Macaca mulatta: one gene and its partner. Each later gene encodes a partner of the first gene's protein in a complex. Links are inferred from orthologs where the notes say so. Each region holds a gene or a part of one and is shown in the gene's direction. Other genes may lie near its edges.

What was found.
Region 2: the proteins of ELANE (region 1) and SLPI are in contact, whole or in part, in a crystal structure (PDB 2Z7F), measured with the Homo sapiens proteins. The link is inferred for Macaca mulatta from reciprocal best matches to the Homo sapiens genes ELANE and SLPI. Residues at the interface, in NP_001963.1 of Homo sapiens: His53, Phe54, Cys55, His70, Cys71, Asn74, Val75, Pro111, Val112, Asn113, Leu114, Leu158, Ile165, Leu180, Arg182, Val197, Cys198, Phe199, Gly200, Asp201, Ser202, Ala216, Ser217, Phe218, Val219, Arg220, Gly221; in NP_003055.1 of Homo sapiens: Tyr93, Gly94, Gln95, Cys96, Leu97, Met98, Leu99, Pro102, Phe104, Met121, Cys122.

What each region holds. Positions count from the first base shown.
Region 1 is NC_133424.1:1,506,107-1,511,736, forward strand, and holds the start of ELANE (neutrophil elastase), read left to right. Parts: upstream 1-1,941; 5' UTR 1,942-2,256; exon of another isoform or gene 2,257-2,642; intron 2,643-2,940; 5' UTR 2,941-3,307; coding exon 3,308-3,374; intron 3,375-3,868; coding exon 3,869-4,025; intron 4,026-4,191; coding exon 4,192-4,336; intron 4,337-5,630. UniProt on the Homo sapiens protein: Serine protease that modifies the functions of natural killer cells, monocytes and granulocytes. Inhibits C5a-dependent neutrophil enzyme release and chemotaxis. Promotes cleavage of GSDMB, thereby inhibiting pyroptosis. Promotes blood coagulation.
Region 2 is NC_133415.1:98,091,213-98,096,620, reverse strand, and holds SLPI (antileukoproteinase precursor), read left to right. Parts: upstream 1-1,664; 5' UTR 1,665-1,686; coding exon 1,687-1,771; intron 1,772-2,493; coding exon 2,494-2,652; intron 2,653-3,072; coding exon 3,073-3,222; intron 3,223-3,800; coding exon 3,801-3,805; 3' UTR 3,806-3,982; downstream 3,983-5,408.

The sequences.
Region 1 (5,630 bases):
GGTGTGGGTGCAGGGGAGGGGTGATGGGGTTGGAGCGCTATTTCTCCTAGGATGGGTAGGCAGGGGAGGAGTCCCCTGGTGGAAGCATGAGGAATAAACTGGGGGGTGGCCAGAGGGGCGGTCCGAGGCAGGGAAGAGGTGGGACTCACAGTCCAGCTCAGACGGACAAGTGGCCACGAGAAGGAGGCATTAACCACGGAGAGGGGACGACCTGCTTCAGGACACACATAGCTCCTTGCTGTCCTTTGTCTTTTTTTTCCTTTTTTTTTTTTTGAGACAGTCTTGCTCTGTCGCGCAGGCTGGAGTGCAGTGGCCTGATCTCGGCTCATTGCAACCTCCACCTCCCGGGTTCAAGCGATTCTCCTGCCTCAGCCTCCTGAGTAGCTGGGATTACAGGCATGCGCCACCAGACCTGGCTTATTTTTATATTTTTAGTAGAGACGGGGTTTCACCATGTTGGCCAGGCTGGTCTCGAACTCCCGACCTCAGGTGATCCACCCGCCTCGGCCTCCCAAACTGCTGGGATTACAGGCGTGAGACACTGCAGCCGGCCTACTTAATTATTTTTGAGACAGGGTCTCACTCTGTCACCTAGGCTGGAGTGCAGTGGTGCAGTCTTGGCTCACTGCAGCCTCAACCACCTGGGCTCGAGTGATCCTCCCACCTTAGCCTCCCAAGTAGCTGGGACCACAGGTGCCACCACACCCAGCTATTTTCTTATTTTTTTGTAGAGACGGAGTCTGGCTGTGTTGCCCAAGTGGGTCCTCAGTGACTCTTTACATATGAACACCTCCAGGTTGCTGTAATCTTAGCACGCTCCTGGCCTCCCGGAAGACCCCACGTCCCCCTTGGAGTCTATACCCGCTGTGACCATAACAACCCTACCTTCCCTGCCACAGTTAATGGTTAACAAGCTCTCAAAGGCAACATTTTCTTTTTTCTTTTTTCTTTTTTTGAGACGGAGTTTCGCTCTTGTCGCCCAGGTTGGAGTGCAGTGGTGCGATCTCGGCTCACTGCAACCTCCGACTCCCGGGTTCAAGTGATTCTCCTGCCTCAGTCTCCCGAGTCGCTGGGATTACAGGCATGCGCCATCAGGCCTGGCTAATTTTGTATTTTCAGTAGAGACGGGGTTTCTCCATGTTGGTCAGGCTGGTCTCGAACTCCCGACCTCAGGTGATCCACCCGCCTCAGCCTCCCAAACTGCTGGGATTACAGGTGTGAGCCACCGCGCCCGACCAGACAACACTTTCTTAGCTAAGAACTTTACGAACGTTAATTTATTTCACCCTCGTGATAGGTTTATGTGATGGATCCTATGATTATAATTTTACAGAGGAGGAAACTGAGTCGTGGAGTTTATTTCAGGGGCCTGAAGCTACACAGTGGCCAAAAGGCCACACCAGAACCAGGATATGAACCCAGCGTCAGCACACTTAACAATAACTGCACATGCGAATGTGGTATACAGCTGGTGCTCAATAAATGCAGCTGACGCCAAGTCTGATCTCCCTGCTTGAGGCCAAGCGCCCCCCCCCCAAGATATGGCCGCCCCCATCCCCGACTTGAAACAGGGCTGTGTATACAGCAGGTGCTTACTAAGTGCACCACGGTGATGTTAAGGCAGCAAGGTGGGAATCCTGCCAAAAGGGGAGGGGAGGAGGCAGGGTAGTGTGTGTCTGATTACGCTGAGGACAGGACAGACGTGGATGGAGTGCCTGCTGTGTGCCAGGCTCTGGGAGGGCAGGACCATTGTCCCTCTAACCTGAGAGCTATGGGAGTCCACTTGTCCTTGGTCACGTCAGGACTCCAGCCCGGCCCAGGCTCTGTGTGTCCCCGGGTGCCCTCGCCCCGCCTGTTCCTGGAGTCAGGCCCGTTGGTTCCCTTCCCCTCCCCTTGTCCCGGAGCCAGGAGGACGTTGGTTCTTGCAACAGCCTTGGCCCAGCCGTTGCAGCTGGAACATCGTGGGGGGGATGGGAAGAGGAACGGGACCCGGAGCCTGGGGCTGGGTCCTGGGAATCCCATCCCCGTGGCTGGGGCTCCAGCTCCCCTGCCAGTTCCTCCAGGCAGAAGCCCTCAGGCTTGGGTGAACATCCTCATTCCAGCCTCCCGGCCTGGGCAGGAATTCTCTCTCCAGCACCCCTGCCTGCCGGTCCCCTGCCTCAGGCGGGGAGGGCTTCGGGGAAGCTCACCAAGGCAGAAGGGCGGGAGAGACCGTCAGAGCCTCAGTTGCTGTCCAGGGACTGACCGTGAGCCTGGGTGAGAGTGAGTTCCCCGTTGTGGGTGACTGCCAAGGACGGGATGGAAGGCCCGGCCCTGAGAGTGAGCCCTGAGGTTCAGGGAGCAAGGCTGGAGTGAGCCAGCTCCAGATCTCCGTCCAGCTGTGGGTCCCAGAGACCTGGGTTAAACTTGCAGCTCCTGGGGAGGCCCTTGACATGCCTCAGTTTCCTCATCCCAAACAGGAACCCTGAGAAGGATCAGGGAGGTGCCTGTTGCACCGTGAGTGCCCGAAACAGCTGCATGTGGCTGGTATCACAGGGCCCTGGGTAAACCGAGGCAGGCGACACAGCTGCATGTGGCCGGTATCACAGGGCCCTGGGTAAACTGAGGCAGGCGACACAGCTGCATGTGGCCGGTATCACAGGGCCCTGGGTAAACTGAGGCAGGTGAGGCCACCCGCATTAAGCCCCACAGGTCTAGGTTTGGCAGGTTTGGCAAAAACACAGCAATGCTCAGTAAAACCTGGGCATTTCGGGTAAGTATATCCTTATACTTAAATTAAGACTTAAGTATTTAAGTCTTAATTTATTAAAGACTTACCGGGACAGACTTAAATTAAAAAAAAAAAAACCTCCGAGACCAGCCCGGCCAACACAGAGAAACCCGGTCTGTACTAAAAACACAAAAATCAGCCGCGTGTGGTGATTTCACCTGTAATCTCAGGTGGCTGAGGCAGGAGAATCACTTGAACCTGGGAGGCAGAGGTTGCAGTGGGCCAAGATTGTGCCACCGTACTCCAGCCTGGGCGACAAATCAAGACTCTGTCTCCAAAAAACTAAATAAAAGACCCACGTCGATTATTTGACATTCAAACGCGATTGTGCATCCTGAATTTTGTCTGGCGGCCCCACCGGAGCCAACCCCGGCCTCTTGCCCCCTTTCTCCCCCTTTTCATCAACGCCCTGTGCCAGGAGAGAGGAAGTGGGGGGCGCCGGCCAGCTGTGGGGCAATGTAACGGCCTCCTGGCACAGGGCTATAAGAGGAGCCGGGTGGGCACGGAGGGGCAGAGACCCCAGAGACCAGCCTCACCATGACCCTTGGCTGCCAACTCTCCTGCCTTTTCCTCGCTGGTGTCCTGCCGGCCTTGCTGCTGGAGGGTGAGTCCTTGTGTCCATCCTTCCGCTGCTCCCTCTGTCCCTGGGGTTCTGTTCCCACTTCTTCATGGTGGGCCCCACCAGTGTGGGTCCCTCATCCTCACTGGGGAGGTGCCATCTGGGACAAGGGGACCAGGAGAAGAGACTGAGGTTCTGAGTGGTGAAGCCACCACCAGGATCCCAGAGTTGGGGTTTGCAAACCGAGGCGGGGGGGTGGGGGGGAGGCTCGCAGGGCGCCCTCTGGGTTCGAGTCCAGGTCTGGCTGTGCCTTGGAGGGGCACCGTGGGGAGGTCCCTTTGCCTCTCCGTGCCTCAGTTTCCCTCATCTGAACAACAGGGGTGTGAATGGTCCTGATCCCGTGGGCTCCTGGTGGGGGATCCCGTGGGTTCCTGCCGGTGGGTCCCGCGGGTTCCTGGTGGGGTATCCAGGGGCCCCGTGGCCGGGAAGGCACGGGCTCCTTGTCAGGCACTCAGCACCCACACCCGGTGTGTCCCCAGGCCCCGCGCTGGCCTCGGAGATTGTGGGCGGTCGGCAAGCGCAGCCCCACGCGTGGCCCTTCATGGCGTCCCTGCAGCGGCGTGGAGGGCACTTCTGCGGCGCCACCCTGATTGCGCCCAACTTCGTCATGTCGGCCGCGCACTGCGTGGCGAACGTGTGAGTAGCCATGAGGGTGTGCGCCCGGCTCGGACCCGCGTCCCGGTCTGAGAACGGTCGGGGGAGGCCAGGGCCCCGGGGCGGCTCCGGCACCTTCCCCCGCAGGCCTCTCGGGTGGGGACCCCCTGACCCCCAGGGCGCCCCTCGCCACCGCCTCTCCTCCCAGCAGAAACTTCCGCTCCGTGCGCGTGGTCCTGGGAGCCCATAACCTGCAGCAGCAGGAGCGCACCCGGCAGGTGTTCGCCGTGCAGCGCGTCTTCGAAAACGGCTACGACCCCATCAACTTCCTCAACGACATCGTGGTTCTCCAGGTGCCGCGGGGCGCGGGGGGAAGGGACACCCGGGGCGGGGGGCGCAGGGGCAGAGGCCAGAGGCCTGGGGAGGGTGGAGGTGGCGACGCAGGGGCGCGTCGGGGCCGCTTGTGGGGACCTGGGGTGGAACCGTGGGCTGGGCGAGCCCCTCTCTGTGCTTCAGTCTTCACCTCTGGGAAACGGGAAAATACCCGCTATGGGCTGTTGACGGATGAAATGAGATTGTGCAGGCAAGCCCGGATTTGCTGTCAATCAACAAACTTCCGGTGATTCTTTGTGTCGCTCCCTTCACCAGCCCTGTGGCCGAGGGCAGGGGCCGCCTCTGTCTTTGGGAAATGGGGCCCGTGTATCCGGCTTACAGTTCTGATTCAATCCCTGGGGACCCGGCGCGGTGGCTCACGCCTGTCATCCCAGCACTTTGGGAGGCCGAGGCGGGTGGATCACAAGGTCAGGTGTTCAAGACCAGCCTGACCAACATGGTGAAACCCTGTCTCTACCAAAATACAAAAAAATGTAGCTGGGCATGGTGGCAGGCGCCTGTAATCCCAGCTGCTCGGGAGGCTGAGGCAGGAGAATGGCTTGAACTCGGAAGGCGGAGGTTGCAGTGAGCTGAGATCGTGCCATTGCACTCCAGGCTGGGTCTCAGGAAAAAAAAAAAAAAGTTACTCCCTGGGAAGGGTGAGGAGAGTTTCATGACATGTCACTCAATTTTCTCATAATTGTCACCCAGTTCAGTGACATGATCGAGACTCACTACAGCCTCCACCTCCTGGGCTCAAGCCATCCTCTCACCTTGGCCTTGGGGGTAGCTGGAACCACAGGTGCCACCAACATGTCCACCACGTCCACCACGGCTGGCTGATACACATATATATATATACACACATTTTTTTGGGGGGGGGATGGAGTCTCGCTCTGTTGCCCAGGCTGGAGTGCAGCAGTACAATCTTAGCTCACTGCAGCTTCCACCTCCTGGGTTCAAGCGATTCTCCTGCCTCAGCCTCCCAGGTAGCTGAGATTACAGGCGTGCACCACCACGCCGGGCTAATTTTTGGTATTTTTAGTAGAGACAGGGTTTCACCATGTTGGCCAGTCTGGTCTTGATCTCCTGACCTCGGCCTCCCAATGTGCTGGGACTACTGGTGTGAGCAACCACGCCTGGCAACATCTGGTTAATTTTTTATTTTAATTTTTTGAGACACAGTCTTGCTCTGTCGCCCAGGCTGGAGTGCAGTGGCTCAATCTGGGTCACTGCAATCTCCGCCTCCCAGGTTCAAGCAATTATCCTGCCTCA
Region 2 (5,408 bases), on another chromosome or scaffold:
TACTAAATACCAACTAGGACTGAATGTACCTGGTTCATAGTAGTTACCTCATGCATATTAATTTTCGTCCTTTTCTTTTTCCACCAAAATTTGATTGATGATTGATTGATTATGTCCAAGTCTTCTGATCCACCAAAATTTAAACCATGGAGTGACTTTCATATAAACAGATCTGCTGCCAGTTGACTGTCTGGTTGTGGAATACTTAAATACTTCATGTGGGGCTGTCACTACTTGATAATGAGTGAGTCTTTCATGTCTGTGAAAAGTTCCACAAACATTCACTTTAGGAATGAATGGGAGAATTCTAAGCATGAAGATAGTGAGTCAAGAGCTTAGAGTTTGCAGCCAGATGAGCTTTGGTTGAATTTTATTTTATTTTATTTTATTTTTTTAAGACAGAGTATAGCTCTGTTCCCTAAGCTGGAATGCAGTGGCATAATCATGGTTCACTGCAGCCTCAAACTCCTGGGCTAAAGCCATACTCCTGGCTCAGCCTCCCAAGTAGCTGGGACTGCAGGCATACATCATCATGCCTGGCTAATTTTTAAAATTTTTTTGTAGAGATAGGGTCTCAATATCTGGCCAGGGCTGGTCTCAAACTCCTAGTCTCAAGGAATCCACACACCTCAGCCTCATGAGCAGCTGAGACTGTATGTATGTGACCCTACACTCAGCTATGGGCTGAATTTTAGAGATAATGATGACTCTCTTTATAATTAGAAGCAATCTATGCAGATTGGGTAGCATATAGAACGAGTTTAATTTTTTGCTGTCATGTGAGATCTGTAAGGGTTTTTGGGGAATTTTAGGAAGCAGTCCTCTAAGATCTCAAATTATCTCATAGCTAAATGTTGATTACAGTGACTGATGAGCTGCTTTCCCCCTTTATCTCAGATTCATTTCAGTTCTCTTTAGTGGGAAGGGATACAATTCATTTATTCTTTTCAGAGTCCCTTCATGCCCTTAATTTCATAACCCTCTGAGAAGGGCTGACTTGTTAGTATCATTTCATTTCACAGCTGAGAAAACTGAGCTCTGAAGAGATTTGCTGAGAGCAGAGCTCTTCTTCAGCTTTCATTTGTTGAGTGAATGCTTTTCCTGTGACAGGCACTGGGGATAAACGGTGTAAATATTTCAGGGAACTAAGTATCGGTTGGTTGAATGAGCTGAACTTTTGAGAAAGAAACTGCATTGAGCATTCAGCAGAGTTTCACAATGCCTTAGAGTCTAATAATGTGAAAATCAGAATTCGTAATGTGAGAATAGGATGTAATGCACGAAGTCTCAGCTGGGGGTCTGCATCTGGTTTCAGTTCCAGGTCCAGGTAGCACCTTTGCAATTGACCACTTCTTCCCCTCTCCACCTGTAAGGCTAATGGCCTGGGGTCTCGTGATGTTTAGGGCTCAGATGGACACTGAGATGGCCTCTTTAATCAGCCAACCTCTCAGGCCAACCTCTTCCCTTTCTTTTCTGGTAATTACTGTATTGGCCTCAAAGCCTCACCTGGCATAGGAAAGATAAACCGTCTCCTTGGTGCCAGGATTTCTGGTCTCTGGCTAAGCTTCCTGCTTATGCAATAGTAGCTGGGAGAGGCCAAAAGAATTCTGGTTGGGCCACACCCACTGGTGAAAGAATAAATAGTGAGGTTTGGCATTGGCCATCAGAGTCACTCCTGCCTTCACCATGAAGTCCAGTGGCCTCTTCCCCTTCATGATGCTTCTTGCCCTGGGAACCCTGGCACTTTGGGCTGTGGAAGGCTCTGGAAAGTGTAAGTTGGGAGTCATTCTGGTCTAATCTGGGCTGCAGGGTCAGAGGTGCGGTCTCCTGGTGATGTGGGTGTGTCCCCTTCTGTAGGCTCTGATCTCTCAGCTTAGTTTCAGGAGACCTCCCTGAGAGTGGAATACATGTCTGGCTGAGCTCCAAGGTTTCTGTGAGGGTTTCTGAGCTTCTGGAAATGCTTTTTCTATGCAGCCATGCTGTCGGCCCAGATCCCACTCTCTCTCTCTCTCTGTCTCTCTCTCTCTTATCCTCTGCCTTCTTCACCTGTCTGCGACTCTCAAATCATTAGTTTCTGACTCTGCTTCTTCTTTGTGTCTTCGCTTCTGCTATTTTGTCTCTGTGTTTCTGCCTTGGGCTTTAGCTCTCAACTTCTCTCACACTGGTTCTATTTATCTTTGTTTATCTGTCTCCATCTCCATCACTCCCAGCCTTCCTCTCTGCCTTTGTGTAGCCCTGTTTTGCTCTGGGGTGGGAGGTCTTGACTAGAAGCCTGCTGCCCTTTTCTTGGGTCTGAAACATCCCCTGTCCATTTGTCCAATTTAATCAAGCCCATCAATCCACCCGGAGATCAGGCAGGCATGACCCTTTGGGCTTTGTGGATAGCTCCTGAGGTAAGGGTCTCTCCCCCTCAAAAGTGGTGCTTTGTTCAGCAGGCATGATGACTTCTCAGTGCCCAGCCTACTCCTGACCTCTTGACTTTCTCTTCAAAAGCCTTCAAAGCCGGAGTCTGTCCTCCTAAGAAATCTGCCCAGTGCCTTAGATATGAGAAACCTCAGTGCCAGAGTGACTGGCAGTGTCTAGGGAAGAAGAGATGTTGTCCTGACATTTGTGGCATCAAATGCCTGGATCCTGTTGACACCCCAAGCCCAAGTAAGCAGATCGGGGAACTGGGTAGAGAGGAGTGAGCCTGAGGACACAGCATTAGGGGGATGGCACTGGGTGATGGGTCCTGCCAGGCCTCCTTGTCAATCAGTCAATGAGTCACATGCCCTAAGGAGGAAGGTAGCCAGCAGGTGGTGAAGCAGCGGGCATTTAGATAGTCAGGTAGTTGGAAGCCTCCCACCTAGTCAGCACTGGACGACTGGCCCCCTGCATCAACGGGGGCCTGATGTTCTAGGACAGCCAGGTGCTATGTTTGGGGGGTGACTTACGGAGAAAGTGGTGGTGATAGAGATCGGGGGGGATGATCCGACCTGCTCAGGTTGCAGCAGGGGCTCACTCTAAAAAGTGGAGATAGGAGGGGTTGTGTAAAGTACAAGGCCTCTGACTGGTAGCCTCACTCTCACCCAGCGAGGAGGAAGCCTGGGCGTTGTCCACCAGCTTATGGCCAATGTATGATGCTTAAACCCCCCAATTACTGTGAGATGGATGGCCAGTGCGAGCGTGACTTGAAGTGCTGCATGGGCATGTGTGGGAAATCCTGCGTTTCCCCTGTGAAAGGTAAGCAGGGGCCGAGGGCACACTGAGCTCCCTCCATCTCAGCCTCAACCCTCTGGAGGCCCAGGCATATGGGCAGGGGGACTCTTGACCCCTATTCCAAGCAGAGCCTCTGTCTGACTCCCTTGTCCTTCAAGAGAACTGTTCTCTAGGTCTCAGGGCCAGGATTTCCATAGGATCACCTGTGGCTTTGATTCTATTCTAGTGTCTCTGGGTGGGGGTCCTGGGCAAGTGACTTTCTGAGTCTCAGTTTCTTTATCGGTAAAATGGACATAATGAGATTGAAAGTGCTCTGCAAAGCACTATGTGCACTAAGAATTTATTATTCAGGTTGTTTCCGTCATGTTTTCTGAGGTTAAATCCCAAACGATCCGTGGAGTTTGAGGATTATCTAATTCAATGCTTTCAATTTAGAGTTTTACGGTGAAAATGAGACTTGTCTCCTGACACTAAGTCTCTCTCAACTATAGCACTATCTTGCTATTTTCTTTATCTCAGGAGGATCCTTGGGCAGAAGGAAGGATGTGAATATGATTTGGCTGATTTCTATGCTGAAGCTCTTATCTGATTTTCTCTCACAGCTTGATTCCTGTGATTTGGAGGAGGCTCTGGAGTCCTGCTCTGTGTGGTCCAGGTCCTTTCCACCCCCAGACTTGGCTCCACCACCGATATCCTCCTTTGGGGAAAGGCTTGGCACACAGCAGGATTTCAGGAAGTGCCAGTTGATCAATGAATAAATAAATGAGCCTATTTCTCTTTGTACCCTGCTTCTGTGATTCATTGGGGTTATGAGTGGGGTGGGAGGCTATGAGGGAAGATCTAGCTATGAGGCCTTCCTCCTATGGATATATAGTGGGAGGAAGAGGCTTAGGGACTGGGGGGACTTGAATTTATATCATGAGTCTATAAGTACTGGCTCTGTGATTTTGGACAAGTGATTTTTATCTCCTAAATTTCAATTCTTTTGTCTGTGAAGTGGCAATAAAAGTCAACTTCTCACAGCATTTGGAACATTGGAGGAAGCATTGTGTGTGTAATAAATAGCAATGTTACTAGGCCACAGCAAGTTCTCAAAAAATAGGGGCTACTTGTGGCCTACTGGAGTGATTTTGAGTCTCTTTAATTTCCTCTCTCTCCCACGACACTATTTCTTCTATTTTATGATGAGAACGTTACCATAATGGGTAGCATTTATGGCACACTATTGGCCATACCATGCAAGGGTGGTGGTGTCCTTGACTCCACGGAGCAGGAGTAACAGGAACTGGGACTGCTAAGAGCTAAGGAGCAGGCAAAGGGCCTTGCTCCACATTGCTCTGCTCTGCGGACTCCAGAGGAAAGAGACAACTTGATTAGATAAGGTTTTAAAAAATATTGTAATTCAATCCTTTCCTGGAAAAAGTCAGCAAACTAAAAATTCTTCCTTACTACTTTCAAACAATGCTCTAAGAGCAGCAAGGGAATATATTAAATTAACAATTCAATGAAGAGGAAAAAGAGGGAGAACCATTTTATTTATTTGATGAGTGTGGCAGTCACCCTTCACGTTGGCCCCCAGTGATCTCACCTGTTGGTATTCACACCTTTGTGTAGCCCCCTCCTGCATTTTTCCACAGTTAGTTTGTGTGACTAATAAAACATTACAAAAGTGAGAGATAGTTATGTCCTCACGAAATTAGATGATAAATGTTTGCAGCTTCCATTGTGGAGGCATTCTCTCTCTCCTCAATCACTTACTCTGAGGGCATTCTTTTGGCAGGTCATGAGGAAACTCAGGCCATCTGTGCAGTGGCCCACAGGGTGAGGATCCAACACCTCTGACCAAGAGCCCATGAGGAACGGAGGCCCATCCATAAACACATGAGTGAGCGTGGAGTGGGTTTTTCAGTCTTGCTCTAGTCTTTTATTTTTTCTGATAGAATCTCACTCTGTCGCCCAGGCTGGAGTGCAGTGGCATGATCACGGCTCACTGCAGCCTTGAATTCCTGGGCTCAAGTGATCATTCTACCTTCGCTTCCTGAGTAGCTAGGACTACAAGTGCACGTCACCACATCCAGCTAATTTTTAAAAAACTTTTTTTAGAGACGAGGTCTTGCCATGTTGGCCAAGTTGGTCTAGAACTCCTGGGCTCAAGCAATCCTCCTGCCTTGGCCTCCCAAAGTGTTGGGATTACAGGCATGAGCTACTGC